Linked DNA regions of Alligator mississippiensis. The protein of the gene in region 4 purifies or fractionates together with the protein of the main gene of each other region. This does not show direct contact. Links are inferred from orthologs where the notes say so. Each region holds a gene or a part of one and is shown on either strand. Other genes may lie near its edges.

The links.
Region 1: the proteins of PRPF19 (region 4) and SF3A1 fractionate together in Homo sapiens (co-fractionation; 3 studies listed by BioGRID and IntAct, with this or other methods). This does not show direct contact. The link is inferred for Alligator mississippiensis from reciprocal best matches to the Homo sapiens genes PRPF19 and SF3A1.
Region 2: the proteins of PRPF19 (region 4) and RPA2 purify together in Homo sapiens (affinity purification with western blotting; 4 studies listed by BioGRID, with this or other methods). This does not show direct contact. The link is inferred for Alligator mississippiensis from reciprocal best matches to the Homo sapiens genes PRPF19 and RPA2.
Region 3: the proteins of PRPF19 (region 4) and PRPF3 fractionate together in Homo sapiens (co-fractionation; 3 studies listed by BioGRID, with this or other methods). This does not show direct contact. The link is inferred for Alligator mississippiensis from reciprocal best matches to the Homo sapiens genes PRPF19 and PRPF3.

Annotation. Positions count from the first base shown.
Region 1 is NC_081833.1:27,737,863-27,745,024, forward strand, and holds the start of SF3A1 (splicing factor 3A subunit 1), read right to left. Parts: upstream 3,010-7,162; 5' UTR 2,906-3,009; coding exon 2,843-2,905; intron 1-2,842. Other genes in the region: CCDC157 (coiled-coil domain-containing protein 157), read left to right, coding at 3,238-3,485, 6,036-6,207, 7,094-7,162. UniProt on the Homo sapiens protein: Component of the 17S U2 SnRNP complex of the spliceosome, a large ribonucleoprotein complex that removes introns from transcribed pre-mRNAs.
Region 2 is NC_081829.1:16,844,667-16,852,591, forward strand, and holds the start of RPA2 (replication protein A 32 kDa subunit), read right to left. Parts: upstream 3,009-7,925; 5' UTR 2,920-3,008; coding exon 2,904-2,919; intron 2,802-2,903; coding exon 2,704-2,801; intron 2,112-2,703; coding exon 2,010-2,111; intron 1,923-2,009; coding exon 1,809-1,922; intron 1-1,808. UniProt on the Homo sapiens protein: As part of the heterotrimeric replication protein A complex (RPA/RP-A), binds and stabilizes single-stranded DNA intermediates that form during DNA replication or upon DNA stress.
Region 3 is NC_081838.1:18,909,140-18,917,043, reverse strand, and holds the start of PRPF3 (U4/U6 small nuclear ribonucleoprotein Prp3), read right to left. Parts: upstream 3,009-7,904; 5' UTR 3,004-3,008; coding exon of another isoform or gene 2,921-3,003; intron 1-2,920. Other genes in the region: MRPS21 (small ribosomal subunit protein bS21m), read right to left, coding at 2,921-3,003. UniProt on the Homo sapiens protein: Plays a role in pre-mRNA splicing as component of the U4/U6-U5 tri-snRNP complex that is involved in spliceosome assembly, and as component of the precatalytic spliceosome (spliceosome B complex).
Region 4 is NC_081825.1:177,221,402-177,228,628, forward strand, and holds the start of PRPF19 (pre-mRNA-processing factor 19), read right to left. Parts: upstream 3,003-7,227; 5' UTR 2,630-3,002; coding exon 2,611-2,629; intron 1-2,610. Other genes in the region: TMEM109 (transmembrane protein 109), read left to right, coding at 3,784-3,832, 3,986-4,251, 5,968-6,070. UniProt on the Homo sapiens protein: Ubiquitin-protein ligase which is a core component of several complexes mainly involved pre-mRNA splicing and DNA repair. Required for pre-mRNA splicing as component of the spliceosome.

The DNA.
Region 1 (7,162 bases), on a different chromosome or scaffold from region 4:
AGAACCTGCAATTAGCATATATCAGTCACATCGCGGATCGACACCGATAAAAGGAAAATTAACATTAATCAGTAATCAGCTTTTTCTGGCCAGTGTAGCTGATGTTGCTAATAAATGCTGCGTCTATGTGTGCAGCCACAGCATGCACATGGCCAGGAATGCAGCCTGGCAAGCAGCGTCCAGCTGGTAAGTCGGTGGAGGGGCAGGGGGAGATAAAAGTGGTGGAGGGCAGGGCAGACCAAGGTCCTGACAGTGAGGGAGGGATTGGGGCAGGGGAAGGTACAAGGCAAACCCTGGGGCCGGAAATGGGAAGAAGCTAAGGGCAGCTCGTCTGGCAGGTGCAGGGAGGGGGCGTGAGGGGATGTGCAGCTCCCTGCCGCTGCATACACCCCAGGGGAGGCATGGGGAGTATGTGCCCCCCAGATGCTGGGCCAGGGCTGTGTTCAGGGTGGGCGGTGCTGGGAGGGGTGGCTATAGCCCACCCCATAGCCACAATGATTCAACAATCATCACCCCTCCCCGTAGACTATTGCTTGAATACTCCAAAACCAGCATTTCCTTTTTGGACACCACAATTGATATCCAAGATGGTAAAATTCAAATCACCATGTATAAGAAACCCACAGACCAACATACATATCTACACAGAACCAGCAATAACCCTAAACACACCAAGAAAGCTGTAATACATAGCCAAGCTCTCCGATGCCACTGAATTTGCAGTGAGGAAAATACCTGTGACCACCACCTCACAAATCTCAAAAGGTCCTTCAACCAACAAGGACACTCCTCCAGAGAGATAGATTGCATTTTTGCCAGGGGATTGGAAACTGGCTAATGTGGTCCCAATTTTCAAGAAGGGAAGGAAGGAGGACCCAAGTAACTATAGGCCTGTAAGCCTCACTTCGGTGCTCGGGCAGATCTTGGAGAGAATCATCAAGGAGCACATCTGTGGGGGGCCTGCAGGGGAGATCATGCTCAGGGGCAATCAGCACAGGTTCATCAAAGGCAGGTCCTGTTCATTTTGGCATCAATAATGATTCCAAGATCCTTTTCTGCCTCTGCTCCGACAGGAAGGGAGTTCCCCAGCCTGTAGGTGTGCTGCTGGTTCTTCCCCCCAGGTGCAGTACCTTGCACCTGTCAGTGTTGAAACCCATCCTGTTCTCATCTGCCCACCCCTGTAACCTGTCTAGGTAGGTCCGACTGTAGGCTATTCCTCCTTTCTAGCATGCCCACTTCCCCCCACATCTTAGTGTTGTCTGCGAATTTGAACAGGGTGTTTTTACCCCCTCGTTCAAGTCGCTGATGAAGAACAAAAAATGCAAAACCTGCCAACACATCTCCTACACTCCCACAATAACTACACCCCACAACAGAACCATCACCATTCCTAGATCTTATATCTGTACCTCCAGAAATGTTATACATCTCATCCAATGCACCAGATGCCCTGATGGAAAATATGTAAGAGAAACCAAACTGTGCACCAGAATGAACTGAAAATCTATCAAAGACAAGAATGCCCAACTACCTGCGGGGGCACACTTCTCACAGGAAGAATCACTCCCTCTCCCATCTCTCAGTTCTAATCCTCAAAGGGAACTTACAAAACACCTTCTGTAGATGAGCCTGTGAACTTTGCTTCATAAATCTACTGGATACAAAAAATCACGGACTCAATATAAACGCTGAATTTATGACACATTACAACCTGCCTGACATCTGATTCACCAGGTACTTGCCTGACCTTACCTCTTATATTCTTCTCTTCCCCCACTTTTTCTCCCCTCCCCTTCTTTTCTGCCTGTTGTCTCCCTGATTTCCTACTATTTCCTTCTTCATCGAGAGACTCTTTCTTGCCCTGTATTATTATCTCTGTAATGTTTCCCTTTGGCCTTTTCTTCTCTGCTTTCTTCCCCATCCCTCCCCTGCTTTATCTCCTGTTTCTGCTTTCTACCTATTTACATTTTTGCTACATCCTCGCACACTTTGAGCTTCTCTCATTCCTGTTTTCCTGATCTCCAACTATTGTCTTTTTCACTGACAGCCTCTTTCTCATCTTGTAGCCTGTATCACTGTAATGTCTCCCTTTAGCCTTTCCCCCCTGCTCTCTTCCCCCTCCCCTCTCTGCTTTACCTTCTGTCTTTCTAATTTCTACCTATTTACATTCTCACTGACATCCCGCCACACTTTTAGCTTCTCTCATTTCTTGGGGTCTCTACGCCTGAAGAAGAGTGACTGTGCCCGAAAGCTTGATAAGAACTTTGCTCCAACTACTCAGTTGGTCTAATAAAAGAGATTGCATCTCCTCAAAGAGCCTTGTCTGCCTATGTCCTTAGACCGACACAGCTACAACCAGCATCCCTAGTTAATATGTAATTATTCTTCATGACCCATCTCACACAGGCATCACGCCCTGTTTCTGTGAGCCGCTGCACTTCAGTGGCTCGGGATCTCCACGGGTAACATGCAGCTTTGAGGCAACAACCCTGTGCTCTGCACTGGAACAGACATCTAGTGACCTGATCATAGTCAGAGTTTGACAGAACCAAAACCAGAACACGAATCTTATTAAATCCCACGACTGTTTGTAAAAGCCTGGCACCAGCAAAAATGAGTTAAAAACCGTATAAATAGAGGCGGGAGAGGGCTGGAGGCAAGGACGAGGGGGTCAGGCACCAGGCTCAGCCCGGGATGTGCGAGGAGCTCTCAGCAGGGCTCAGGCCTCTCGTGAGCCAGCGGTGCACCCTCCCCTCCCCCTCTGCCCCCGCTGCATGCTGGGAGCGCCCCTCGAGCGCTGCGGACTCCCTGGGGAGGCCCAGCCCCCGCCTCGCGCCGGTACCTGTTTGCCCTCTGGGGGCGAGGGCTGCGCCGGCGGAAGAGCCTGCACGGGTCCGGCCGGCATGGTGCCTCCTCAGGGCCCCACCGGGCCTCGACTCGACCCGAAAAGCGCGGACACAACTACGCGCACCCAGGCCCGCACCACCGCGCACAAGATGGCGGCAGCCCCGAAGGATGCGCACGCAGCCCAACCAGCGCAGGAGATGCGCGCGCAGCCCCGTGGAAGAGGGTGAGGTGGGGGTGACGTTCCGGGGAGAGCAGGGGGCGGGATTTGGAGCGTTCTATTGCGGGAGCTGCTTCAGGGCCCTCCGAGCCTCCCCTCGGGAGGATGGTTCTGCCCGGGGCGGGGCCGCGCGGTTGCCGGGGTAGCGGGTGACGCGGGCGACCCCAGGCCCGATGGCGGGGCCGGCGGGCGGGCACATGTGCGTGGAGAGCCTGCGGCGGGACGTGACGGACCTGCAGGGCGCCATCGCCGACGTGTGCGGCCGGGCTGGGCCCGCACGCTGCCGCTCCTGGAAGTTCCCCGACCGGCTGTCGTGCGAGCTGGACGTGGTGGCGCTGCTGCAGCGCTACGACTACGTGGAGGGCGACGCCGAGCTCACGCGCCGCTCCCACGTGGCGCTTCTGGAGCTGGTGATCGACAGGTGGGGGAGAGAGGACGGGGGCTCCCGCCCGGCTCCGCACAGCGGCCCGAGCCCCGGCGTCCCCGCCCGGCAGCCGCGGCTTTGTGGGGGGCACTGCGTGGGGGCCTAGTTAAGCTGCAGGCTCTCAGCTCCGGGCGCCCCGAAGCAGCGGGTGCAGGCACAAACCGGGCCTGGGCAGCGTTGCTGGGGAGAGGCTGCCGCTCCTCCGAGATGTTGCCTGTGTCCCGGTAACGCGGTTGCCAAGCGCCGTCAGTCCCGGCCGGTTCCCGCGCCAGGCCCAGCCTCGGCTACAACTTGTACCCAGAGTTTCTGCTCCAAGAGCAAAGCTGTGAAAAAAAGCATCGAGGCCATCCCCCAGCTTCTTCTTTAAGAAGTGCTAAAACCTCGGGGCTTTGAAGTGGGACTCTGCAAGGAGGCGCCTTTGCTTTTCCTGAGAGACCCTGCCCAGATGTGGCCAAGTGACCAAGTTTGGAAAGATTCTGGGCCTCGGACAGGCATGACACTTGTGGTGCTTGCTGTAAACGGCCTCTTTGGGCTGTAAGGCTATAAAGCCCTAAGAAGTGTCCTCTCTGTTCTGCGCTGGTGAGGCCACGTCTGGAATACTGTGTCCAGTTTTGGCCCCCCAGTACAGCAAGGATGCGGACAAGTTGGAGAGTCCAGCAGAGAGCAATGGAAATGGTTTTGGGGGTTGGGGCACATAATTTATGAGGAGAGGCTGAGGGAACTGGGCTTATTTAGTTGCTCCGTGTTCTGTCGTCTGCCACCACTGAGAACAGTCCAGCTCCATCCTCTTTCAAACCTCCCTTCAGGTAGTTGAAGGCTACTATTAAATCCCCTCTCAGTCTTCTCTGCTGCAGAGTAAATAAACCCAGTTCCCTTAGCCTGTTTTGCAGTTTTCCAGCTGTGTAAATGGCCTCTTAGGCACTTATGCAGTTTGCAATTCTCTTTTCTGCAGTGTGGGCATGCAAGTGTGTGCGACTAAGCTGAGCATGCTCAGTAGTCTAAAAATAAGCTGGCAGATTTATGACTGTATGCCTGTACCTGAGCACTAGCTTTAGAAAAAAATCAGGAGGAAGCAGGACCTTCCCATGGTTTAGTCCTAATAGTTGACTGGATAAGGGAAATTGTCTAGCAAGTGGTAACTGTATATAAGTGCTTAAAAGGTCACTGACATGCTGGAGAGCTGCCATTCAGGTACACAAAGTAAAGCAGAATCTCATCTTTATCCTCAGGTGACAGTAAAAACCCTGAAAAGTTCAGTCTTACTGAGCCGGCTCCAGTTTAACTCAGCTTCTTGTGCTGACCAGATTGTGGATTTGCCATTTCCACAGAGCAACCGAGCATGCACCTTCCTCTCGGAGTTACCAGATTACATGCCTCATTCAGTACCCAGGATAGACCTATCCTGTAGGAGAATCAGGGTTGTGTAGCAAAGAAGATTGCTGTCTGTAGGACTCCTGCCTCATGTGCTGTGTAGTGATTAGTGATGGAGGTAGGGAAAATCGTTTATGGAAAGGATCAGGTACTTCAGTAAGCAGTGCCTAGAAGAAAAGTAACCATTTGGTCTTTAGAACAGTGTTTGGATACTGTTCAGTAGATAAGGCTTGAGACCACACACTGAATTATGAGGAAAAAACAGAAAGCTTACTCCTTAGTGAAGCACCAGTCAGCCTGTGTGCTGAATGAGGCAAGCATCCTTTAATAAAAAATAATATGTAGTTGTGTAATTGAGGATGATATCATAATGCATAGATGCAAGTGAGTTCATTTAAGGCTACATGGGCATCCTTAATTCTGGCATTGCCTGACTTTGTTACCTTAGCATTCTTTTAACATTCACATGTATTTATTGCAAATTGAGAGCACAAATTTAACATGGTTATATGAATGGTTTGCATTTCTGTGACTTACATTTGTTCAAAGTAAGTTATAAACTTTAACTAATCATCCCTACCTTTTGTGGAATAGACATTGTTATCTTTGCTCTGCAAATTGGGAAGCCAACGCACACGTTAACTGACTTACCTAAAGTCTCATAGAGTTTGATAGAACCAAAATTAGAACACAAATCTTATTAATCCCACTGCTGTTTCTAAAAGCCTGGCCCTAACAGTTTGGCCTTCCCAGAGCCTGTAATAGTTTTAATGAGAGCTCATTTATGAGTCACCCCCACACAGCTGGGAGGCCTAGGTACAGGGCCAAACCAGGGACTACCTCCATGTATCCCATCTCAAAGAAAACATTGCTTTGATCCGGTGCCTTTGGAGAGGACCTCAACCCTGATGCATGTTGCTGCCTAGAGTGATTCAGAATTGAGAAGGAGCGTTGCACAACTGTTCCCCTCTACATGGTTTCCAGTCTCAAAAGGCCCAGGAAGAATGGGCATATGTTGCCCATTGATGCTATCTCTATCACTTGCTTTGATGCTTTGCATATGCAAATCTGAACATACCTCTCTAGATTTGCAAGGTTGTAGCAACCTGCATGGAAAGGCCCTTTCTCCGTGTTCATGTTTATACAGCTCTAAGCTGGATTTCTTTTCTGTCAAAGGCTGCTGTTGCTGCTTCAGAGCTTCACTGGCTATGCAGAAAATCTTATTGATGAACAAGCCGTGCCTCCTCTTCAGGCAGTGGGACCCTGCATGTCCGTTGGGCTGACTGTGAGGAAGTACTGGAACAGCATGCTGAAACTGGGAGCCTTCTATCAAGAGTCTGTGGGTGAGGTAGGGTCAACCCTTACATAGGATATTGCTATATTTAGCCAAACCACTGCTCTCTCAAATCTGATATGCTGTCTCTGACAATAGTCAAGCCCTGCTGTTACACAGATGGCTGAAAAAATGTCTGACCAGTAGACCAGCTTGAATAGGGTGGCATTCATGACTGAACCTTCATTGATCAATTAACACTGAAGCACAAGATGAGCTTTACCCTCATCCAATCTTCAGAATTAGCTAAAATGGTATTAATGTATGAAAATTAGCCTGTCCTTTTTTTTTTAAACCAAATACTATATTTAACTTTTGGCTCCCTGCATCAGGGAATTCTACAGGCTATCTACACAATGCATAATAAGTACGACATTTTGTTTGTTTAAAATTTACCTTCCATTACTTTCTTCAGGTGACCCTTTTCCCATGTTATGAGGCAATGTTAACAGGAGGCCCTAATTGCTGTCCCTTTTGTAACCTAACATTCTACCTCAGTCACGCGCCCTGGAAGGCTTCTTTTTTTTCAGGAGAAATAGTCCTAGTATTTCCCAGCTCACTTCAGATGGGACTCCTCACCAGGTCTCTTAGTAACTCTGTAGTTCCTCTTTGGGTTCTTTCAATCCCTGTGATGCTTTACTGAGGTGGGGCCACTAAGACTGATTGATACTTTCCCAATGATGATGCATCAGTGCTCAGTATGAGCATTAGGGTTGTATTTCCTGCCCTTTCGTTAATAGTAGGGGAAAGGAAACTGGTATCTTGGGGGAATCATAAGTTTGCACTTTGCTTGGTTCCATTTTTTAAAGCTGGGTATCATGTTCTTGGCTTCCCAGTCCAGTGTTGGACCTAGCATTATTTACATATGACAGCATATGTCTTCATCTTTTCTCTCTGCTAGAATAAATCTAACAGAAAAGATGTCTCTGCACTGAAATCTACACTGCAGGATTTGAAAGCTGAGAACGAA
Region 2 (7,925 bases), on a different chromosome or scaffold from region 4:
TTTTGTTTGTTCACTGGGTAGAACTATAACCCTAACTCATGTACACAATTCATACCACAGAAGAGGAACAAATTTTATTATAGCATCTTACTACAAATACAATGATATAACCACAAGCGTGGTCAGCTGTCTTGGAGCAAGTACAGGACACCTTTTGAAGTTAGCAAATTTTAAGTACAGGCAAATGAAGGTCTCAAAGTGTGTCTATATTGGTGAATTATGATGCCAAGCAGTGGGCCTATTTCCTCTGTGGTTTGTGGTGCCAAAAACCACGCACACAGTGAAGGTTAAAATGTGCCCTGAGCTGTAAATCTGCAGCAGAGGGACAAAAGTTTGCTACCAGGATTTCCCAGTAGCAAAAAAATAAATAAATAAATAAATAAAAAAGCAGCACCGGAAAAAAAGGGGTGTGACACGCGTTATAGCAGCATGCACTGGAACAAACAGAAGCTTGGCCCTTCAGGGAGATGCTTTGGCTGCTGGCTAGAGCATCTCCACTATTTTATTTGTGCCCCAGCTGGTCCAGCACACCAGGAGTCAGGAAGAGTTAGGAAAGAGCAGTTTGCCTGAAGCGGGACAATTTGTCCCTCACAAAGCACAGGTGTAAGGGTGTGCACCGTGGCACAGAGTAGCAGCACAATTTTGTGCCACTACTATTTGTGATGCTGCAAGTGCATGCCCTTGCTCATCTGGACATGACCCAAAGTTCAAAGCAGCATAACTGCCATAGCACAGTGTTGTGTCTCCATCAATAAGCTCTGCCTCCGAGATACTTATTAGCATATGCTCAGTGCCATGCTAAAGGTGGACAAATCCTGGTGGCATGCACAGAGCAAGCACGGCATCTCAATACAGTGCTACAACGGAATGGTACACACACTCAAATATACTCAGCTTGGTTAGACTGTTAGCTTTCAATTACACATCCCTAAAATATTAGGGAAAGGCGATGTGCATTACTATAGCAGTGTGGGAGAATCCAAGGAAACTAATGACGCATCTTATTTTGCACACCTCCCCTCCCCGCGCTGCAATCTATCCATTCTACCCATGAACTACTAAATTTAAGAAAATGGAGTAACACCACCAGGGACAGAAACAGGGACCAGAACCTATGGCACTTACCCCTCCATGGCAGTGCCCATCTCACTAAGCCAATGAGCAAAGCACCCTCTAACTAAGGCTAGAAATAGATGTTGCCAAATGAAGCAGATTGCCTGTGCTGGGATGTGTCCACAAGTGGCACAAAACATCTCTTCCATAGCTAGATTTGGATGTATAAGCAACAATTAGTTATCTTTGGGCAAAACAGGATTTGACTCAGCGACCTCTTCAATTCAGTTATGAAATAACTTTGAAAATATTGAAAGGACAACATTTTTAATGAGACGTATGGAATGCTGCAGAACTGAAGAGGAAGTGAAGAATAGAAGAGCAGCCCCCATAAATGCAGGGATTCCAGTTAGAGTGATGCTTGTCTAGGTATATGCATGTCATATTATGAATGTACCAAAAGAGGCATATTATCTATTAAGGACTCTACTAGGGTATTGACATGCCACAGTTCCTATGGCATTTAGAAAAAGGGAACTAAATGCTGAATACGAAAGCAGACTATCTGACAGGGTAGGCAAAGAATTCTCCAATGCTCATTTAATAAGAGGCCCAATTAAAAAAGTCCCTGTACTCAGCTGAATTAGTATTACATTACAAGGTAAATACTACTTCTTTGGACCCGAAAAGACGGATAAAAATTAAATACTTAAATGCCCCCTTATCTTAAATCCTAAGCTCAACCTGGTGCTTACATCAGTATCAACCCACTGTCTGACATCCATAGGGGCTGCAGTCATATCATCCACTTTGTAGAGAATGTTTGTCGGTGCTTTCTCTGCCTGTCTGATGAGCCCCATGATAAGGACCTAGAAGAGATGCAGACAAAAAAGTTACTTTGTGATGTAGGTTCCTGTCGATTCTGAAGCTTTTCCCATTCCAGATCCGATTCCTACCTGTGAAATCTCTACATCTCGGACCTGGAACGTTTCATCCACCTGCTGAGCAGAAAACAACTGAGACACTGTACACGGCACGATGTTCTGGGACCGGGACTTCTGCAAGAGGGAATGGAGAGTCTCAGAGAAACAAAACCATTAAAAAAAAAAAGAGTCTGGAAGGGTTCTCAAGGGTCATTTGGTCCAACCCCCTCCTCAAAGCTGTCAAACCCTACCAACGCCGTCCCAGACAAGCGCTGTGTCCGACCTGCGCTCGAGAGCTGCCAGGAACAGGGCTCGCACCTCTCTAGATTTCCTGGTGCTTGATGACCGCTCGCAAGATCTTCCTCACGCTTCGAATCACATTTTGATCTTTGCATGCAGAGAAACAGCCACCCAGACCAGCCCACGCACCGACCTCTCCTGTCATGCAACATGTACTTGGCACGGGCGCTACAGGCACCGCTACCACATGAGCAAAACCCCGGTCGTCTTCCGACAAAAATCCGCGTAAGGCAAGAACGCTTTTCCAGTGAGTTTACGCTCCGCACGGCTCCCAGTTAGGTCTGAAACCTGCTAGTAGCAACGGCAGCATTAAGGAGCATTCAAATGCTCAGCCTTCTGCCTGCAGCACAGGCCAAGGCCGCAGGCAGCTGCCAGACATGCCCGGGGAGCGGGGGGCCCATGCCCGGGCACGCGCGGGGGCACGTACCGGTCTCTTGTCCTGGGTGGCGGCCGGGGAGCCGAAGCCGCCCGGGGACTGCACGTATCCTCCGCCCGCCGACAGCCCGCCGCCGCTCTCGGACCCTGCTGGAAGGAGCGCAGCACCGCGTTACCCCGGACCCGGACCCGGACCCGCACCCGCACCAGTCCCGCCCCCCTGGCCCCGCACCCCGGCCCAGCTGCGCTCACCGTGGCTCGTCCACATGGCGGACAACAGCGCAGCGCCGCGCGGCCCGCAGCTCCCGCCGGCGCGCCGCACGCAGCCACCCAATCAGCGAGCGCGCCGCTCCCGCTCCGCCAACGTGCCGGCCAATCAGCTCCCACGGCGCTGACCTCCCAGCTATGTCCGGGTTCAAACCGGAAGTGTGACATCACAGGGGTAGAACGGTGACTTCCGCGTGGGGGCGGGGCCGCTCCGAACCCTGCTCACCTGTGGCGCTGGGGGCGGGGCGGGGCGGGGCGGGGCTGGTGCTGCGTGGGGCCGCGCCGCTGCATGCTTGGATCGGTCTTCTCGGGTCCTGGGCCGTCCTCTAGTCTTTGCAGCGGTAGAGGTTGTGAGCAACGAAGTAGGGGGGCTGCGCAGTTGGGGTTTTATCAGAAAGTCGAATTGACTAATAAAGATGTAAAATGTAATGCATCAAGTACAAACCCTCGAATAAAGGGCTGGGATTATGGGGCAAAATACTTCGAATCAACTCGAGCCACAGGGCTCTGCAGCTAGGGGACACGTCTCAATAACTGACCAGGGCAGTGCCCGACCCACGGCTCAGGGTTTGCGAGCCAGCCTGCCTGCTGGTGGCCACTGAAGAGCTGTGCTAATACGGTGTTTTCAGCTATCTTCCATGTTGGGCTATTGGATGGAATGTTACGCATTGATAAGGATGATTTATTTTGCAATTAATACCAGATCTGCCTGAATCCAAGATGGTTTTGAATGTAGGATGCTTTAACCCCGAGTAAGCCAATTCCATATGTGGAAATTTAGAACATATCATCATTCTATAACTGGCTGTCATTTCCCATGTATAGAATCTGATTACTGGAGGGTTGTTTTAAATCTGTCCTCAGCTATGGAGGGGGAGAGGCACGGAGCCTGCCCCTGCACCTTGCTCCCCTGCCACTTGACCCCCGTGCCCGCACCCCTGCCACCTGTCCCCTGATCCACAACTCACCACTGGGCCCTAGTCACCTGACCCCCGCCAATTCCCAACCCACCCTGCCGCCTGATCCCCGTCACATGCTGTTCTCCACCTCTGCCGCTGCCCAGGCCCCAAGATCTGCTGCCTCCTAATCCCAAAGCGCACTACTGCCCAGTACCCTACCCACTTCCCCATGTGTACGGCTGCTCCTACCCATGACACCTGCTGCTTCCCAACGCCCCCATGCGTTCTGTTGCCCAGTTCCCAACACATGCTGCTTCTGGCCGATCATATGCACATGCTGATGCCCGATCCACCCACACAGCTGCCCCATTCCTCAGCTGATCTTCATGTGCGCTGCTCATGAAAGCTGCTGCCCCATCCCCTGCCTGATCCCTGACCTGTACTATTGCCCAGTCCTTGACATAGCTGGAGACAGAGTGCTGGTACTCAGATCCAAGATGAGGCATGTTTTTCCCCATGTTGAATGAGGGGAAAAAACTTGTCTTGGATTCAAGTAAATACAGAAAGAAATTACATTTGGAAAAATTGGTGTGGGTTTATATACAAATCATATATTTCCATGAGAAAAAAAGGAAGGAAAGAAAATTTATAATATTTGCTTCACTGTCAGAAAGCAATTTACATAACTGTGCTTTATTTTACTTAACTAATATACAGGCACAAAGTAGGAAAAAAGATCTGCGAAACTAATAACCTCACCCGTTCATGGTGAAAAGACATGACAGGTGCTTACCTCAAAATCTTCATAATGGCCTATAGCTCTGTCTTAGAAGACTGTTGCATGTTTAATATGAAAAACCGAAGAAGAAAAACCAAAGTGTAATTTTTAATATGGTTTAAACCAGAACCAAGAAGTCAAATAATGTTGCAAGTAATTCAAGTAGGTTCCATGTTCATAGTGATATGTATTAAAAAATTCATAGTTGCATATACACGTATCTCTGATTATATTCGTCACATTTGACTAAGGTTATGTTCCATACTGACAACTTTGTCTATCCCTTATCAGCGTACCCCTCATTAATATGCAGAGAGGATGCCCGTCAAACCAGCAGCCTGGAGGAGTAACAGAAACCCCAGCAGAGTGGCAGAGACCCCTGGCAGTGATGGAGCTCCCTGGCGGAGTGATGGAGAACCCTGGAGGTGGCATCCACAGCAGTGCTGCCTAGCATTGCACCCTAACACCTCTCTCCAGCATCAGAGCGCAAGTAACTCCTGTGCGGGCCTCCCTATCTAGCCCTTGATACTTTGGCTGGCATATGTAGTAGAGCCTCAGGAGAAGCATGGCAGGGCCTTTGGTGGGGATCTCCCTACCCAGCACTTACTACTAAGCTGGTGCAGGTGGTAGAGTCCCTGGATGGCAGCCCCGGGTGAGACTGTCTTCCCCAGGGACGGCTAGGTGGTAGCTCCCCAGGTTGGGTTGTCAAGACTATGACTGATCAATACTGAACTACAGTTAAAGGTTAATCGTTAAGGTATTGCTCCCCTTTTCCCTTGTAATAAATCTGTTTTAATTTAAATTTGCTTACGAGTGGGCAGGTTTGTTTACATTATAACACCAAGTTCAAAGTTATTTAACCAAGTTTCTGGGTGGGGGCTCAAGGTAAATTTGAAAAGTTGGTGTAAAACCCCTATATTTGTATGCAGCTATTCTTAATTCCATCTAGTGCCTGGCAAAACAGCAACATATGGGCCTTACCCCCCCTCCCCCCACACACAATGGCAAAGACATGTGGTTTTGGGTGACCCAAAAAAGGATTTCCATACATAATCCCAGGCCTGGGGGCCTGCTATTAAGGAGCCAAGCTTCAGGTTGGGCAGGGTCCTGCCCAGCATCTTTGAGAGAGTCCCCTGATGTTGGAGAGGTGTGTTTTGGGGTGACCCAAAAAGGATTTTCACTCATAATCCTAGCCCAAACCCAGCTCCTTCTTGAAGCCTGAGGGGCTGTCAGTAGTCAGCCCAGCACGCAGATACCAATCTTTAGGTTGGGCAGTGTGCAACTCAGACTTATTAGAAGTGTACCGTGATTGACGAGACATGTGATTTGGGGTAACCCAGAAAGGATTTTGGCCCATAATCCCAGTGTAATCTCAGTTCTTTTTTCAAGGCTATGTCCTTGATACATGATATTATTTTACATTTTAATTAGTAAATATTTATTTTTGATTAAATCCTAGCTCTTCAGTTTGTATAATTCATTAGTAACAACTTTTAATTGTGTAAGGATTAGTTTTGTAAAAGGAACTGGGAAGAAGGAACTGGTAATAAAGAAACAACTTCAGACTCATTGGGTCGGACTGGGCTGGGCTGCAAGAACAGGTCAGTCCACAGGAGTTATCAAAATGGAAGAGTTATTAAAATTCACTTGAGAGATCCAAGGAAGAGGGCCATGCCCTTTGCTACAGAGGAAGGCAAACCCCACTTAGGTCGTACCAATTTGACCATGGGGTAAAAGTCCTCCCTGTTTTCAAATGTGGTGAGATCCTGAGAAGAATGGCAAGACCCCTCTAGCCAGGAACCTCCAAGTTTTAGTCCCAGAAGGAACACTGGTGGGCTATTAAAATCCCCAGCCCTGGCTGCAGCCAACACCAATGCTTCTGCAGAAGACATAAAAAGAAAAAAAAATCTCATACGACTAGCACAGGTGGGAAAAAATTCCTTTCTGGCCCACTGTGGCAACCAGTAAAGACTAGAAGCATGGTAAAATCCTATTACCATCCATCCTAATACCATCCATTCTGCTCCATAACCTTCTCCAGTTGCTGAGCATTGTCCTCTTCAATTTCCAACTGCTCTGGGATGCACAGCTTTTCTCATGATCCCTGACATCTTGTGTGGAAGGGCTCCTGGGTTTCCAACTGTTGTTATTTACAGAACACATATAGCTATACCTAGATCATCCCAGAGCAATGCTTATCCAACCCCTTCTTGAAAACCTCCAGTGATGGAGATTCCACAGCTTCCCCAGACAGTGCCTTATTGTTCTCACAGTGACGAAGTTTCCCATGATATCCAATCTAAATCTACTTTGCTGCAACCTCAAGCCATTAATCCACATCCTGCTCTCTGCAACAAGAGAGAAGAGGTGCTCTTCCTTTTCTTTATGGCAGCCCTTCAGACATTTTAAGATTGACATCATGTCCCCTCTTATATGCCTTTTCCATGGGCTGAACATGCCTATTTCTTTCAATCTCTCCTTGTGTGACTCGCCTGCCAAGCTCTTCTTCATTTTTGTCCCTCACCTTTGGACCCTCTCTGTCTTCTTCAAGTCCTTTTTAAAATATGGAACCAAAAATGGCACAAAGTACTCTACGTGAGGCCTAACTATACTGCATAAAGAGGTGCTATCACCTCATGTCTTGCACCTAATGCTCCTATTGATGCAGCCTAAAGCATCCTTTTTGAGCTAACGTGTCATATTGTAGACTCATGTTGAGTTTGTGATCTACCAAGACTACTAGATCTTTCTTCCTAGTGCTGCCATGCAGCCAGGTGTCACCCATTTTGTATCTGTTTTTGATTACTCTCTGTGAGGTGTAGCACCTTGCATTTGTCAGCACTGGCCATCCTGTTGGCTCTAGCCCAGCTTTCTAGTCTGTCAAGATCCTTCTGAATTGCACTCCTGCCCTCCAGTGTGTTTATAATCCTTCCCAGTTTGCAAATGTCAATATTGTTTCCAAAACTGCTCAAGAATATCTTTATTCCAGGATCCAAATAATTACTAAACACATTGAACAGCACCAGGTCCAAGACAGACCCCTTTGGGACTCCACTCAAAACCTCCTGCCATTCAGCCATGGATCCATTTATAATTACCCTTTGCTTCCAGCTATTAAGCCAGTTGCTCATCCACCTTGTAGTAGCTATACCACCCCACATTTCTCCAATTTGCTTATGAGAAGGTCATGTAGCACTTTGTCAAAGGTCTTGCTGAAGTCCAGGTGTGTTATGTCCACAGCACTCCCTTCATCCACCAGCTAGCTGTTTTGTCAAAGAAGGAGATCAAGTTTGTTTGGTATGATTTATTCTTAGGTCTCCAGATGCTGCT
Region 3 (7,904 bases), on a different chromosome or scaffold from region 4:
CAGATGGGGAAGTTGAGGCACAGAGACAGAGAGGCCAATTCCACCTCTCTCTTCCAATCAACCTTCTCTTATTGACACAAGGGGAACTCTTGAAGGCTCAAAGTCCACCCCATACCAGAGCAGGGTTATTCCCTACAGCTTACTTTCCAGCGCACTGACCTCATTAATTTCAAGTGACGACAGTACCTGAACCTGCAAGCCAAGATCTCAGCATTAGGAAACACTTCCTGCTATTCAGCTGGAGTTCGTCCAGTCATTCCCACCCCTTCCTTTCCAGTGAGAACAGCTTGTACTGCTCTAAGCAACTCCCCTTGCCTCTTCCTTTTAATGACCTGCAATACAGGTCACCCTGGACAGGCTTATGAGGTGGGTGGACATCAACGTGATGACATTCAATACAGAGAAATGTAAAGTGCTCCATCTATGGAGAAATAATCCCCAGCACACTTACAGACTTGGCAGTGCTATGCTTGCCAGTACCACAACTGAATGAGACCTGGATGTTATGGTAGACAACAAAATGAACACAAGCCACAAATGCGATGCTGTAGCTAGCAGAGCTAATCAAACACTGGCATACATCTACTGAGGCATCTTGAGCAGGGCAAAGGATGTCATCCTCCTGCTCTACTCAGCCTTGGTGAGACCACAGCTGGTGTACTGCGTCCAGGTCTGGGCGCCGCACTCCAGGAAGGAAGTGGAGAACCCTGAGAGTCCAAAGGAGAGCCATGTGCATAATTAGAGGCCTAGAGACCAGGTCATACGAGTAGAGGCTGAAAGACTTGGGGCTGTTCAGCCTGGAGAAGAGAAGACTCAGAGGGGACTTGGTGGCAGCCTATAGGTATATCAGGGGAGAACATCAGTGCCTGGGGGAGCAACTATTCACCAAGGTCCCCCAGGAGAGGACAAGAAATAATGGGCACAAACTGATTGAAGATCGCTTCAGTCTACACATAAGGAAAAACTTCTTTACAAGTCGGGTGCCGAGGGTTTGGAACAGGCTCCCTCCAGAGGTGGTGTAGTAACCCACCCTTGCAATCTTCAAAATACATCTTGACACACACCTTGCTGGGGTATCCGATTCCAGCAGTCTTAACTGCCTAAGGGGCTGGACCCGATGATCTGTAAGTTCCCTTCCAACCCCTAATGACTATGAAGCTATGTTTCTAATGTTCCCCTCAACTGATTGCCAAAGGGAGTCATCCTATTGCAGACCTCCAGTACTGTCTTGATTATGAGGAGACATTGCACATTGTACAATACTGTATTTCCTCACAAATCACACCCCACCCCCAAATCAGACATGCATCTTAAGGCTGAATTAAGGGGAAAAAAGGTGCTTCCAGAGTCAGGGCTGAATCCTGAACATCACTGCTCAGCCACAGCTACATTTTTAATCTTCTTGCACCTGCTACTGAATTAGCAGCAGCTTCTGGCAGCTTAGTTAAAATTAACTGTGACACCAGAGAAAGAAGCAGAGCTCCAGCAACCATTACAGTGTCTCCATGCTTCTATTCTGACACAGAAACCAGCTTCCCTTCTTAAGACACCCACTCCGCTTTTGGAGAGCTGCTTCTTGGGAAAAGGACATGTGCAGCATGCAAACAAATACAGTATTAGGTAAAACAGCTTTTCCCCTGAATAAAAATCCGTAACTACAGATAAAAAAAACAAACCTTGAATTGCTGCTGCCCCTACAAAATGCCAAAGGAGACTCAAACTGCAGCAGAAAGGACCCAAAAGGTTAAATGCACTAAATACACCAAAACGAAAACTGCACTGGAAACAATAATTCTGACTTGTTTTTGTTTTTTTTACTGCACAAAAATACTACAAGGAAAAGAAAAAAAATCAGACCAGGCTGAGAAGCCTGGATACAGCCAGAGACTGCAAATAAACCAAGTGCCAATTGTAGTAGGGTCCTTCAGAGGCCAATTTATAATCAGAGCAATACAGTGTAGCTGTTAGATATGAACATTACCTTTTCCACCCTTGAAATGTAACATGAACATTATTTTTTCCACCCCTGAAATGTGACCGATACATTTAAAAGTTAGCGTCTGAATTTATGAATGGTTCAGATCCTCATTGCTGTGACCTGACAACACCCACTGGGAAGACGGGCAATGCTGGGTGAAGCTGTGAGACCGTGGTTGCTTCTACATCCATTCTGAGCTCAGATTCGCTGGGCTTCATTTCGCTGAAGCTCAGTTTTATTGCTTTGGGGTCACAGGGAGTTCTTTGCTGAGCTTGGAGGGCCTGTCATGATCAGAAGCCAATTTTCTTCAGAGGGTAATCACAGATCATAGTAAAAGCAAGCCAGAATGTGGTCTCTTTGTCTAACCTCACTAGACTGAACCCTGCTAAACCCAGCCAGGTTTCTCTTGATCCCCTCCGGGTGACGCATAGAGGGGAACAGACAACCCAGACTCATCAACTTTTGAAAAATGGCCCCTCTGACTTCCCTGTGTCCTCGTCTCCTTCGTCATATAGAAGGAAGAAAAGAATCCAGTGTCCCAATCCCGAATCTACTGGGCTAACCACTAGAACACAAGACTGATGGTGCGACACACTAACAAAACCCCCCTGCCTGCACGAGTGCCAAGAACATGACTGGTTCATACATAGGGGGTTAGGTCTGTGTTGTGCCAGGGCTGACAGTAGCCTTACGTAGAGTTTAGATGATGGATTGTATAGAATGGCTGGGACAGGACTGATCCTGCCTCAGGACTAGATGTGACCCCTGGAGCTCCCTTCTAACTCCACTGCTCTAGGGGGGGATTCTTTGCTTTAAGAGCATGACATGAAATCCAAGCTGCAGCTCAAGTACCAGCAGAGGGGGTTCAGGGAGGAATCCTTCGGCTCCCTGTTAAAACACAGCTGCCAACAGGGCCCAGCAAAGGCGGCCACTGCCTCTTACTTGTTCAGTGACCTATATGCCGCCTCCACATCCTTGTTCTGCACCATCACTGTCCGGGCAATGAATTTCAGGTGACTCGCCATGGCGGCTGTGGAGGCTGAGGCTCAGGAGGCACCGGATCGTGACTGGTCTCCACTGCACCACAAGCGGGGACCTAGAAAGGTGGGGAAAGAAAGCCACAGACTTAGACTCTTAGACAATGAGGGTGGGACGGGAGCTCGGGAGGTCACATCTAGTCCAACGCCCTGCTCCAAGCAGGACCAGCCCCAACTACATCATCCCAGGCAAAGCTTTGTTCGAACCAGGCTTTAAAAACCTCCAAAGACGGAGACTCCAACACCCCCGGGGGGAACCCGGTCCAGCGCTTCACCGCCCTCCTCGGGAGAAACTTTGTCCTAATATCCAACCTTGACTCCCCCTGCTGCGACCGGAGCCCATCGCTCTTTGTCTGCCGCCTGCCCCCACTGAGACCAGCCCAGCTCCGTCCTCTTTGCAACCCCCTGCAGGGAGCTGAAGGCTGCTGTTCAACCTCCTCAGTCTCCTCTTCTCCAGACTAAATCAGCCCAGGTCCCTCAGCCTCTCCTCACCAGTCCTGTCCCCCAGCCCCACAGACACTTTCCTTGCCCTCCGCTGCACTCTCTCCCACGGGTCCACATCCCTCCCAAAACTGGACCCCGGGCTCCAGATGTGTGTGGCCTCGCCAGCGGGGAGCCGCCCTGCAATGAGCTGGCCGCTCCCGCTCATGCACCTCCATTGCCCCTGCCTGCGCCCAGCGCCCCCCCTCACCCCCGCCTCCTGCGCCCTGCCGCCCCGGGGCTGCTGCAGGGCTGGGGGCACTGCCCCTTTGCGGGGAGGTGTCTCGGGGGGACCACGCTCACCCCGTCTCGCGCCCCCCAAGGTCCACCGGGGTCACAGGCGCCGCCACCGGAAGCGGAAGTCGCGCCGTCCCGCCCACTTCCGGGCGCCATGGCAACCGGGCCCACGGGGTTCTGGGAGGGGGGAGTCTAGGGCGGGGGCGGGTAAGAGGAGGAGTGGGGGTACTTGGAGCAAGAGGAAGGGCTGGGGGTAAAAGGAGGGGGTGGGCACTGGGGCAATATCAGGGGGATAAAAGGGGGGGTGGGGGCACTGGGGAAAGAGGAGGGGGCAGGGGGCAAAAGGAGCGTGTGGGAGCCTGGGGGCACTGGGGTAAGAGGAGGGGGTGGCGCAGGGGGTGCTGCCTCGGCCCATGTCAAGCACCCACTGCCCCCCTTGGGCACTGCCTGCACGGCGCCCCCTTCCTCTGCAGGCAGGGACCAGGGCGATGCCCCCCGCCCTTGCTGAAACGAGAGCAGCCTGGCCAGGCCCAAGCGCTCCGCCGTCACGAGCCTGGCCCCGAAGCAACCAGCTGGGCTGCCCGTTTTTCGGGGGGCTGTCTGTTTCCCATACCATGCTCTGATTCCACCTTTGTGTCATTTCCTTCATCCCCCCGGGCTAGATCCCCATTGCTGTTTAAGCAGAAGCAGAGAAGATTGCAGCATGGCATGATCCCCTGGCTCCGGGAGCTGGGGCTTTAAGGGAAATACCCGCTAGGGGGAAATCGTGGAAGAGTCAGGCTGGCAGGGCCCCGAGGAGGCCGCAGCCCCCTGCTCAAGGCAGGATCGGCCCCGTCTAACCTGTTCTTGGAAACATCCAAGGATGGAGATTTTGCCACCTCCCTCAATAGCCTGTTCCAAATGTGGCAGGCCAGCCAAGCCTGTTGAAACCAGCCCAGATCTTTACAGCAGTGAGAGACTGATATTTGCACACCAGTGTGGGATTACACCATCAAGCCAATCCCATATTTCAGCATAGTCTGCACCTCCGTGCAGGAGGTCCTGCAGGTGGCATGGGTGTCCCAATTTGTCCTGGCATTGGATCATTTTTGTGTGTCAAGGGGCAGGGCAGTTGAATCAAACTCCTCCCGATGAGTGATCCAGGGAGCCACCTACATTTCAGTGACCGGGTCACGGCATGACACATGAATTAGCCAGCAGTGCCCCAGAGATGAAAACAGAGGGAGCCAGGAAGTGACAGGAAGGTGAATGCACTGGGCAACCAGGTAGGACAGATTAGATGTGACTTTGAGCAAATGAAAGAGAAGCGCACGCAAGATGCCAGACGAGGTTTATTTATTTCCCCTCAGGAGTTCTGCCAAAAGTCAGACGTCGGTACAGCGTGATTCTCTGCTGAGCTGGGGAGCAAAGAGCGTTCTGCTTGTTGAAGACACGGGGCAGCAGGCACAAGTAAATGCACTATAAAAGGCAGGTTAGATAATCACTCTGTCAAGGAGCATTTATGATCAGGGCAGGGTTTGCAGTTGGGGCTTCTGAGTTCCCTTCCCAGCTCTGGCCCTGAAGGCATGTCATCTCCCTGGTGCTCTGTATCCCTACAGGAAAACAAGGTCAAATAACCCTAACCCTACCTGGGGGCTGGAAAGCCTCATTCACTGCCCTCTGTAAAGTGTTTTGAGATCTCTCATAAAAGGCGCATCTGCTGAGCAGCACGGAGAGGTCACATTATCTGCCACTGCCTGTTCATCAGACCCACTCTACCAAGCCAGTATTTAATGTATCTGTCAGGGGGAGGTTACCAGCAAGACTAGGATGCCATGAGACCAATGCTGGTGACATACTCCCCGAGATCAATCAATATCCGATTAATAAATGGGGAAAGCCGTCATCCTCTAGAGCACTGGTGTAGCACAAAGCCCTTCCTGAGGGCCAAGGCTCGGGACTGAGAGGCGCCTGGGGAGCGAAGTGCCCTGTTTATTCACAGAACAGTGGAAGTGAAGGAGTCCCCAGGCTCAGCACCACCTATCACAGCACAGGGAAAATGGTAGCTAGTGAAGTGAGGTCCGGTTAAAATCCTCTGGGATTTTAGGAGTCCCCAGTCCCACCTCATTAAAAGCACCGGGGGAATCTTAGTTTAGCTTCAGTTCAACTCAGCACCCTGTTGCCCAGCTGTCAGCAAAAATCAGGTTAGATGTCTCACCTTGGGCTCAGCCCTGAGATTCAGCAGGGATACTATGAAACAGCCTCTCCTACCATATCCTGATGCTTCTGGGTCCTGAACCACCCTGGAGCAATGAAAGATAAAAAACATCAGAGCCTTCAAATCATCTCCAGTTGGCCTTTAGTCATTGTCATAGACTCCACTAGTTTAAATCAGGATCTCTACAATTCTCAGGGACCCCTGACCCCATCACGCATCCAAATCTGAGTCATAAGTGCAGAGGTGGGTCAGCACTTGTGGGGCTAGAACTGTTAGCTATTAAAATGTAAATGAACCCAAAATGTGCATCCATTTGTGGCTGCGAAGGAGGGAGGGAAAGGAGGGGGTGGTGGGGACACAGCAAGAGCCAGCAGCTGGGAAACGAATCTGATTGATATCCCGTTAATAATCCAGCGGCTTTTTAATGACAGACCCTGTTATTATGGGCTTTTATAAATGGGCTGTAAAAAATTCAGTAAGGCCTGAAATGCAACAGACTAGGTCTTCTGGGGTGAATGTTCCTTTATTTTAAAAGCAGTTTTTTAAAAGGGGAGAGAGGTCTGAGAACAGGATGGAGAGCCAGGATTCCTCAGTGCTAACTTTGCCGCGGTGGGGTAGAAGTTGCTGCATTTCTCTGGGTCTCAGGGTATGGCTATTCTGTGAGTCTACCACAGCCTAGCTTTAAACTAGCAAGCATGGGCATTTCTCATAGTTTGTGAAGGTAAAGAGCTCAGTGCAAGCTACCTACCTCCAAATAACCCCTCCTAGTACCCCAGCCAGCTAGTTTAAAGCTAGCTTGGATGTGTATCTCCTCTGCAAGGAAGAGAAACCCTTTATCTTTCCCCCACCTCAAAACCAGAGAAGGTAACACTTCCCAGTCTTGCAGCCAGACAGAAAGGTGGCTTGTGTTTGCAAAGTGCTTTGGAAAGTAACATCCTAAATATTATTAGTACCTGGTCAGCATTACTCTATGTTTTCACACATCCCCCCAGCTAAGACCTGCACTTTGTTTTGCAGAGGCAGATTGAAGAAGAAAAAGGATTTTTCCTTTTAACTGAATGGCTCAGAATCCATTTCTTCCTTTAAGGTCTGCACCCCAATTTTCACTTGCTAATTTTAAGGGACGGAGGTGAGTGTGGTAGGTGGGTAAATAAGGTACATGCACTAAGATGGTGTTGCACACCAGTGGTGAGAACGGGCCTGGCTGAGCTGTTGCACTCTGCTGGGTTAAAATCCACCTTAGAAGTGCCTCAGCGCAGATCTGACCAGCAGACCAGACAGATTCAGCAGGGGGCGAAGAAAAAAAATCAGCTCCTTCAGTTTTACGGGGCAAGAGATTCTTAAAAATCTCTCATTAGAGAGGTAGCACCGAACCTCAGATACCACTTACCTTGAACCACCAGCCAGGAAAGCAGCCTCTGTGGACTCCCTGTTGATTCCTCCCTTGCATCTCATGCTTGCTCAGATCACTCGTCAGCAGAGGGTTATTTTTTGTTTTTGAGACATGCTGTCAATGGAACCCAGTTTCTGCCATTTGAGGCTGCTCCCCACCCACTTCCTCCTGCCTTCAGGAGCAAGAGATTTCCGAGTCAGACTGAGGATTTGAGGAGTATGGGCTGGGCTGGGCTGGGCTGGACAGATGCTGGCTCCCCCTTGCTCTCCAGTAGCACCATCTACTTGGGCTGGGCCAAGGGGAAGTAAAAGTAGCAGCTGAGCTTGGAGGGACCAGGGTTGGGGGAGCACAAAGGGGGACATTAAACGCCTTTGCTTTGGAGAGAAAAGGTCTAGTTATCTACCTGTGTGAGTGTAAAGTCACAGAGCCCCAAATCCACTCCATAGAGGTGGAAGAGCAGATGTGGGATGTTGCCAGCTCTGACTAGGAGAGATGGTCCATAGCACATTGTCCATGGAGACTGCAAAGGATGAGCCATTTACGCCATAGGATGGACCACTCAGTCCTGGCTGGTGTGGCAAC
Region 4 (7,227 bases):
AGAGAAACACTGGCCTCTTCATTTTCTTTCAAACCACCAGCTTGGCTTTCTTTAGAGGGTGAGACAGTTAATGCTGAAGCTAATTCAAGTGAGCCTAAAATGCCACACATATTGATCTCTGCTGCTGTGTTGTCTGTACCATAGATCGCAACAGCAGTTTGCCTGTCCTACTAATATTACTAAGAGATGTGCCCAGGATAGTGGTAAATGGTTTACTTAATGTGGTACAAAAAAAAAAAAAGGACTTATCTTGTATTCAAGAAACCTTCAGTACAGTACTCAGGGTTAGAACAGGAAGAGCTATTGGGGAAGTTTTCTGAAATTTTGTCCAGCCTCAAGGACTGGTAGGAGCAGCTTTCCATGACGACCTGGTTTCAATTCTGAGTCCTGGGGCTAGCAAAGTACCTGGGATTCTACCTAGTCACAGGTCTGGCAAAGAAAACCCTGCGTTTCTGAGCCTGACCAGGAAGGCAGTATGGCCTAGCACTAACTAGCACTCCTTCAAAGAGCTGGTCATAATCCGAGCTCTTCTATAGGCCACTGCCAGGTGACCCTGTACAAGTCGTTCCTCTCTCGGTGCCTCAGACTCCGCCGCCAGTAAGAGAGGGATAACAGTACTGCCCTTCTGTGTAAAGCTATGCAAGATCCATTGACAGGTATCATATAAGAGCTGAGCATCTCTTTCTCCTACCCTTAGTGCATCTCTATGAGAGAGAAGGGGTCTGTCTGCTGAGCTTGGAGCTTCACTATGGAAAAATATGGGGGGGCAGGGGAGATGTGTGTAGGTACATACATGCATGTGTATACATACATATCTACATAATTAACAAGTAACCTCTTGGGCTCAGCAATGTACATCACTTTGCCCTCAATATCCTGCCAATGGAGCCCTTGGAGTCTGCACCCACCACAGGGGAACTGTGGTACCTTTATCAGCACTTACACACACTGTTCCTGCCCAACCAGGAAGGACTCCAAGTGCCTTGCCAAATGGCAGGTGTGTATGTCAACCCCCTCATCATTATTGATACTACTGACACACCTAGGGGCCCTAATCATAAACCACATCCCCAGTGGTAACACACTACACCAATGACTCATGGCAACCCAGGGTTGCACAGCACCCTAATTGAGAATCACTGCACAATACAAATGCACACGAGCCACTAGTTCAGAGGCTCGTCTGCATGCCCAGAGACATTCTCCTATCCCATCAGCAGGAAAAGTCACAGTAAGATGGAAAATGTATCAGATTCCTGTAGCCCCTGCTACATGTTACATATATTTACACAATTAACTGTTTAATCGCACAACCCATTTAGACCAGCCATAAAGTTCTTGAAAAGTTATAACAACTCTATAGCTGATTTCTTTCCAGCTTTAATTGGAATGTGTAGGAGGGCCCTAAGTAAGCTGTTTTTCTGGCACTTTCATACCTGAGCTAAGACAATGTTGATCACGTATTGCTTAAAAATTAACTTTTGATCTCAAGCTAATGCTGAAAAATGTTAGGCCAGGGGAGGGAACATCTGGGAAGGGTGTCTGAAGCTGAACAAAGAACTAGGGTGGAAACTGCCACACATCCCAAACTTCAACCCCGACTGTTTCCACATCAAAGGAGCGGTCAATGAGCTGAACCTTCACCCTAGGGCAAAATGACAGAATCACAGAAAGTGAGTGTTGGAAGGGACGTCAGGAGGTCATCTCGTCCAACCTCTGCTCAAAGCAGGACCATCCCCAACTAGATCATCCCAGCCAAGGCTTTCTCTAGCCAGGTCTTAAAAACCTACAAGGATGGGGCTTCCACCACATCTCTGGGTAACCTGTTCCAGTGCTTTACTACCTTCCTAGTGAGAAAGTTTTTCCTAATACCTAAGCTAAACTTCCCTTGCTGCAACTTGAGATCATTGCTCCTTGTTCTGTCATCTGTCACCACTGAGAACAGCCTAGCTCCATCCTCTTTCGAACCCTCCTTCAGGTAGTTAAAGGCTGCTATTAAATCCCCTCTTAGTCTCCTCTTCTCTAGATGAAATAAACCCAGTTCCCTCAGCTCCTCACAAGTCACATGCCCCAGCCCTGCCACGGGTTTTCACTGCCCTTCGCTGCACTCTCTCTGGCTGACCCCCAGGGGGCTGGGGGAGGAGTGGGGGGGACATTAAGGGCAGGATTTGGTTCAACCCTCTAGAAGTACACTACAGATTTGTATTTGAACTCTCTGGGTTGTCCCAGGGTTGGGCTGTGTCAGTGCGCCTGCTGGGACCAAGACCGGAGGCTCCTGGCCAGGGGGGCCATGGCCCCGCGCTCAGGATCAGACCATCCCCACATCTGGGCTCGGGAAGACCCGTTCCCCCGGCTCCGGCCTGACACGGGCTGCAGGGGCTTCGCCTCTCCCTGCTCGGGGCGCAGCCGCCCCCGGGACCTGCTGACAGCGGTGCCCAGAAGCAGGCCGCTGGCTGCGGGGCGGCCCCGCTCCCCACCCCGACCCGCCCCGCGGCCGCCCCCGGGGGGCTGCGCGCCGCAGCCTCCAGCGCGGGAAAGGTGGCAGCGCCTCCGGCCGGAGCGCTTAGGGAACGGGGCCGCGCTCGCTCCCCCGCGCCGCACCGCACTCACTCGAGCAGATCAGGGCCATGGCGGCTGCTGGTCCCGAGCCCGCCTCGCTCTGGCTCCGGTTTCTGCTTCCGGGTCACGGGGTTCTGCTTCTGGCGCGTGTGTGCCAGGCCCACGAGGGGGACGCGGGGACAGGGGGACGGTCCCTCTCGCTCTGGTCCTCCCACCAAGCCCCGCGGCAGGGCCGCGCCGACCACTTCCGTCTGCGAATGTGTTTGGGGGGCCCGCCCCGAGGCGGAGCGGGGAGCTGCCACTGGCGGCCAGCGACCTGTGGGACCAGTGTACCAGTTCCGCCTGCCAGGCCGCGAATCCCACCGAGCACAGCCTCCCTTCCCGGCATGCCCCGGGCGGCGGCGCGTTGCCGTGGCAACCGAGCGCCCGCGGCGCCTAAGAGACCCTCGTGGGACCTGTTGCTCCCGTCATGCCCCGCGCGCGAGGCGGCTTCCGACCCACAACCGTCATTCCCAGAATTCACTGGGCGAATTTCCCCCCTCACGTCACTGCCTCCCTGAAGGACTACAGCTCCCAGCGTGCACCGCATGGGTGAGGGGTGAGCTCCAACCGCTGAGAAAGCCACGCCCCCTCAGCCCAGCCCCGCCCCTACTCCCGCCCGCGCTGGGGTGAGCTCTCAAGGGGGGGCGTGTGCTTTCCCCCCCCGGTCCCCGCGTGGCTGGGCCGAGGCCCTGCTCCCGCCCCCAACCCCGTCCTTGGGCTTGCTGGGGTGTGGGGACAGCAGGCAGTGGCAGAGGGGGCCCGCATGGTGCCGCCCTCCCGCCCAGCACTGGCGCCCAAGCATCTCTCTCCACCCCGCCTCCCCCCAGTGTCGGCTTCTGGGACTGCGCCAGGGGCAGGCCTGAGCAGGGCGTGTGGGAGAGGGATTGTGTGTCACCCCCCCACCTGCTGCGGGGGGCCCAGCTGTCCTTTCCATCTCTGCAGGCCCCACACTGAGGTCACTGCCCAAAGTGGGAGTGAGGCAGACTTGACCTTTGGCCCCTGGCTCCTGGGATTCTTCTCAAACGAAGGGCCGGTGGCGTGGGTGCGGGTGCCTGCTCTTAGACCCAGGTTCAGTCAGCCTGAGCAGCCGGCTGCTGGGGAACAGCGCAAGGAGCTGCCTCCGGTCGCCAGTCGTTGGGAAACACAAAAGGTTGGGAGCGGAGACAGGCCCAAGCGCCAGTAATGAGAGAGTGGCCCGTGGAGGATCCTCAGTTGACAAGGGAGCATGCTGGTACTGCGGGGAGTGCATTTGCCCTCTTGGCAGTCCAGGGTGGCCCTCCCCATGGGCAGGATAGCTCTGACCCCAGGACAGGAGGATCCTGGGTTTCTACAGCTTTGTTACTGTCTGTGACTTTACTCATCTCTCCTCTCTCATTTCCTTCAGCAGGGCTTCTTGGTGTAGAGAGAAGAGCTGGAGAGATGGCGGGAAGGGATTGCAGGTCCTGGAGCTGCCGCCAGCTTCTGCTCCGACCAGCTGTTGCTCTCCTGATGTCAGCCGCTTTCCTTCATGTGGCCAGCGCTCAGAACCGGTCTGGCAAGCTTTGGAAAGAAGCACCCGTCCACACTGACTTCTTGTCCCATTTGGGTCAGGCCATGAAGGAGACCCTGGAGGAGATGATTGGGCAGGAGGCTGTTCAGATGGTGGCTGAGGTAAGGCTGGAATTCCAAAGGGGCTGGAAGAGGGTGGAGGTGAAGGTCTCTGTGCACAAAGTTTGCCCCCCTCTGCCGGTGTTAGAGAAATAGCTATTAAGCTTTGCCAAAGTTGTTCAAAGAGCTCCAGTGAGAGAGTCCAGTTTGAGCTTTGGACTGTGACTCTGGAGACATGGTTTCCAGTTTTGTCATTGGCCTGCTGAGTGACCTTGGGCAGGTCAGTTTGCCTTCCCCTGCCTCAGTTTCCCCATCTGTAAGATGGGGATAATGCCAACTTCCCTTGTGGAGCATGTTGAGGCTATGGCTTAAAAGCACCAGATAAAAGCTGGGTGCTACATATATCAAGGTTAACATTGAGCAAAGTTATTGATCTGAAATTTCTTATGCAGCTTGTGCTGGCCAGTCCTTGCTTCCCTAAGCCTCCTGCTACCGAGGGAGGTTTGAGTCACTTTAGCTCCAGGTATCTGCTCTGAAAAAAGGCAGCATGTGCCCAAGTGACTGAGATGTGGCGCTGTTGTTAGACCTCTGGGTTCCAGTTGTAGTTCTGTCTGTAATGAGCTCCTGCAGCTTCTTAGCTAGCTTATCTCCTGGGCAAGTAACAGTTACACACCCACCCCCACCCTCCAGCAGGGGCATAAGGCTTCATTTAATAGGGGCCGTGAAGGGCACAAGTCAGGAGTAGAGAGGCTAGGTAGTCTGGTGGGTTAGGCACCGAGCCTGAGATTTGGGAGACCCAGGGTAAAGCCTTTATCTGCTGCCAGCTTCCTGCTTGACTTCTGGCAGGTCATTTAGTTCTCAAAGGAGTCTGGTTTGAAACTGCCTCCATTTTCCCTAGGTAAAACTAAGAATAATAGACATTCAGATATTGTTGTGACAGGCTAGAAGATAGAAGCATCAGCTGCTTATTTCAGGCAGAGCTCCTTGACGATGGAGCCAGCTGGATGGCTGAACAGTACTCTGGCCCCATGGGAACAAGCTTTCAGCACAGATTTACCTCTTCAGGAAGCTACCCACTTCTCAGGCTGTGGACAGATTTAACTGTCAACCGTTTTAAAAGGGGAGGAGTTGTTCCGCTCTGCAGCTTATGTCAGCTGTGACAGCATAACTGTTGTGTCTGCATGATTCTGTAGGGAACTAAATTGTTGTAACTTGAATCCTGTGGGATGCAGGGATAGGGTTACAATGGCTTTGCTACAGTGGTCTCCCTGCTGGAGCATGCATATGTGACAACTTATATTGGTTTCATTGATAGATACACCATGGTTTGGTCTGCATACACTGTGTTGAAAGAAGCACCAACCAGCTGGCTCTGAAGCTGGCAGTATTGGTTTCTGGTTGGGGTGTTTCTGCCATCTGTTAGGTGGACTGGTTACACAGCTTATCCATCTGAGCTGAATTGCAGCTGAGCTGGGCACCAAATCCAAAAGGTAGGGATGGGGAGACTTGAGGCCACTATTGTACTTTTCCTAGTACAAAGCCATCTCAGCCCCTGTGGGGGGGGAGTTAAAGCATCTTTGGGGTTGCTGTAAGTTATGTCTAGTGGGTTCCTGCTGCACCTACAACCAGCGAGGGCTATTTGCACCCAGCCAGGCATTGGTTCCTATCAGAGCTCTCTCATGGCCCCTGAAACCTCATACGCAAGTGGTCTTGTCTCCCTTCTCCCCACTGGTGTCTTTGAACACATGGCAGGGACTGAAATTTCTCTCTTCCCTGCAGACCATCTCTGCCATGTTCTGGATTGTCTCCAATGGCATCTCTGCAGGGCTGATCATCCTATCTGAGATCATGGGACAGATCCTTAGTGCTTTTGGCATGAATGGTAAGTTGCTTTCTATCTGTGTGATGATATTAATGCCTAGAGACCCCACCTGAGGGCAGGGCGCCATTGTGCTGGGTACTGCATAAAAGCCCAGGCAAAGGGAGGGAGGGGAAATTGAAGCATCAGCTTGCTCACAGCAGAGGCAGAATTAAGAGCAGGAAGCAAATCTCTGGTTTTCTGGTTAAGTGCCCACTCCCCTGAAGCCCCCTTCCACAGCCCCATCTGTGGAAGGTTGGGAAGGCTGTTCCGCATCCCTGTCTCTGGGGCAGAGATGTGTTTCTCTGAAAACCAGTCTTTCACTGGAGTATGTGAGGGCCTCAGTCCCATCCCTCACAACAGACAAGGGTGTCTGAGCTTCCCCTTTCAAGGCCTGTGGCATAGGAGGGGTCAACTCAGGCTTGACAGCCCATATCATCTGGGGAGAGCAATTTTACTTTCCTTCCAGTACTTAATGGGCTAACCCTGATCCTTATCCCTAAATAAAGAAAAGGGGCTCCCATCTGGTAAGGAGCAATTCTCTCCAAGGGTTTCTCTTCCCAGCACTGGAGAGAGCTCTCTTGCCACCCGCACCACTCCCCTTTCGACTCCCATTATGCCGCTCTCTTCAGGAGCAGCCTGCCCCAACATCACTTGGGCAACAAATAGGGCAGTCATCCAGCTTCTGGGTAGCCAGGGACCACATGCAGCACAGGCCCCGGACCCTGGTGCTGGAGGAGCTACCTGCCACACAGCTGAACTGACTTCCCTCCCCTTCCCCCCATCACATGTGCAAACCCCTCTCCCAGCCACACATGATGTGGGGGTAGCACACAGTGTGGGCAGCCTGGCTTCTTTTTTTTCCCCAAGCACACAGCCTGGCCCTTGCTGTGCTGCACAGCCCCCAAGAGCAGGTGTGGGAGGGAGGGTTGGGGGGCAGGAACCAGAAGTCGGAGGAGGGATGGAGAGTCTATAGATCCCCGCCATTGTTGCCAGAGCAGGGACTGGAGTAGCGGCCAGGCAGGAGCGTGTGGGCCACATGCTAAACCAGGGGTGGGCAAAATGCAGCCCACGGGCTGGATGTGGCCTGCCAGGCTATTGTATCCGGCCTGCGGGGCCCCTAAAAAATATAGAAAATTCATGTTTATCTGCCCCTGGCTGCCTGCCATGCAGCCCTCGAT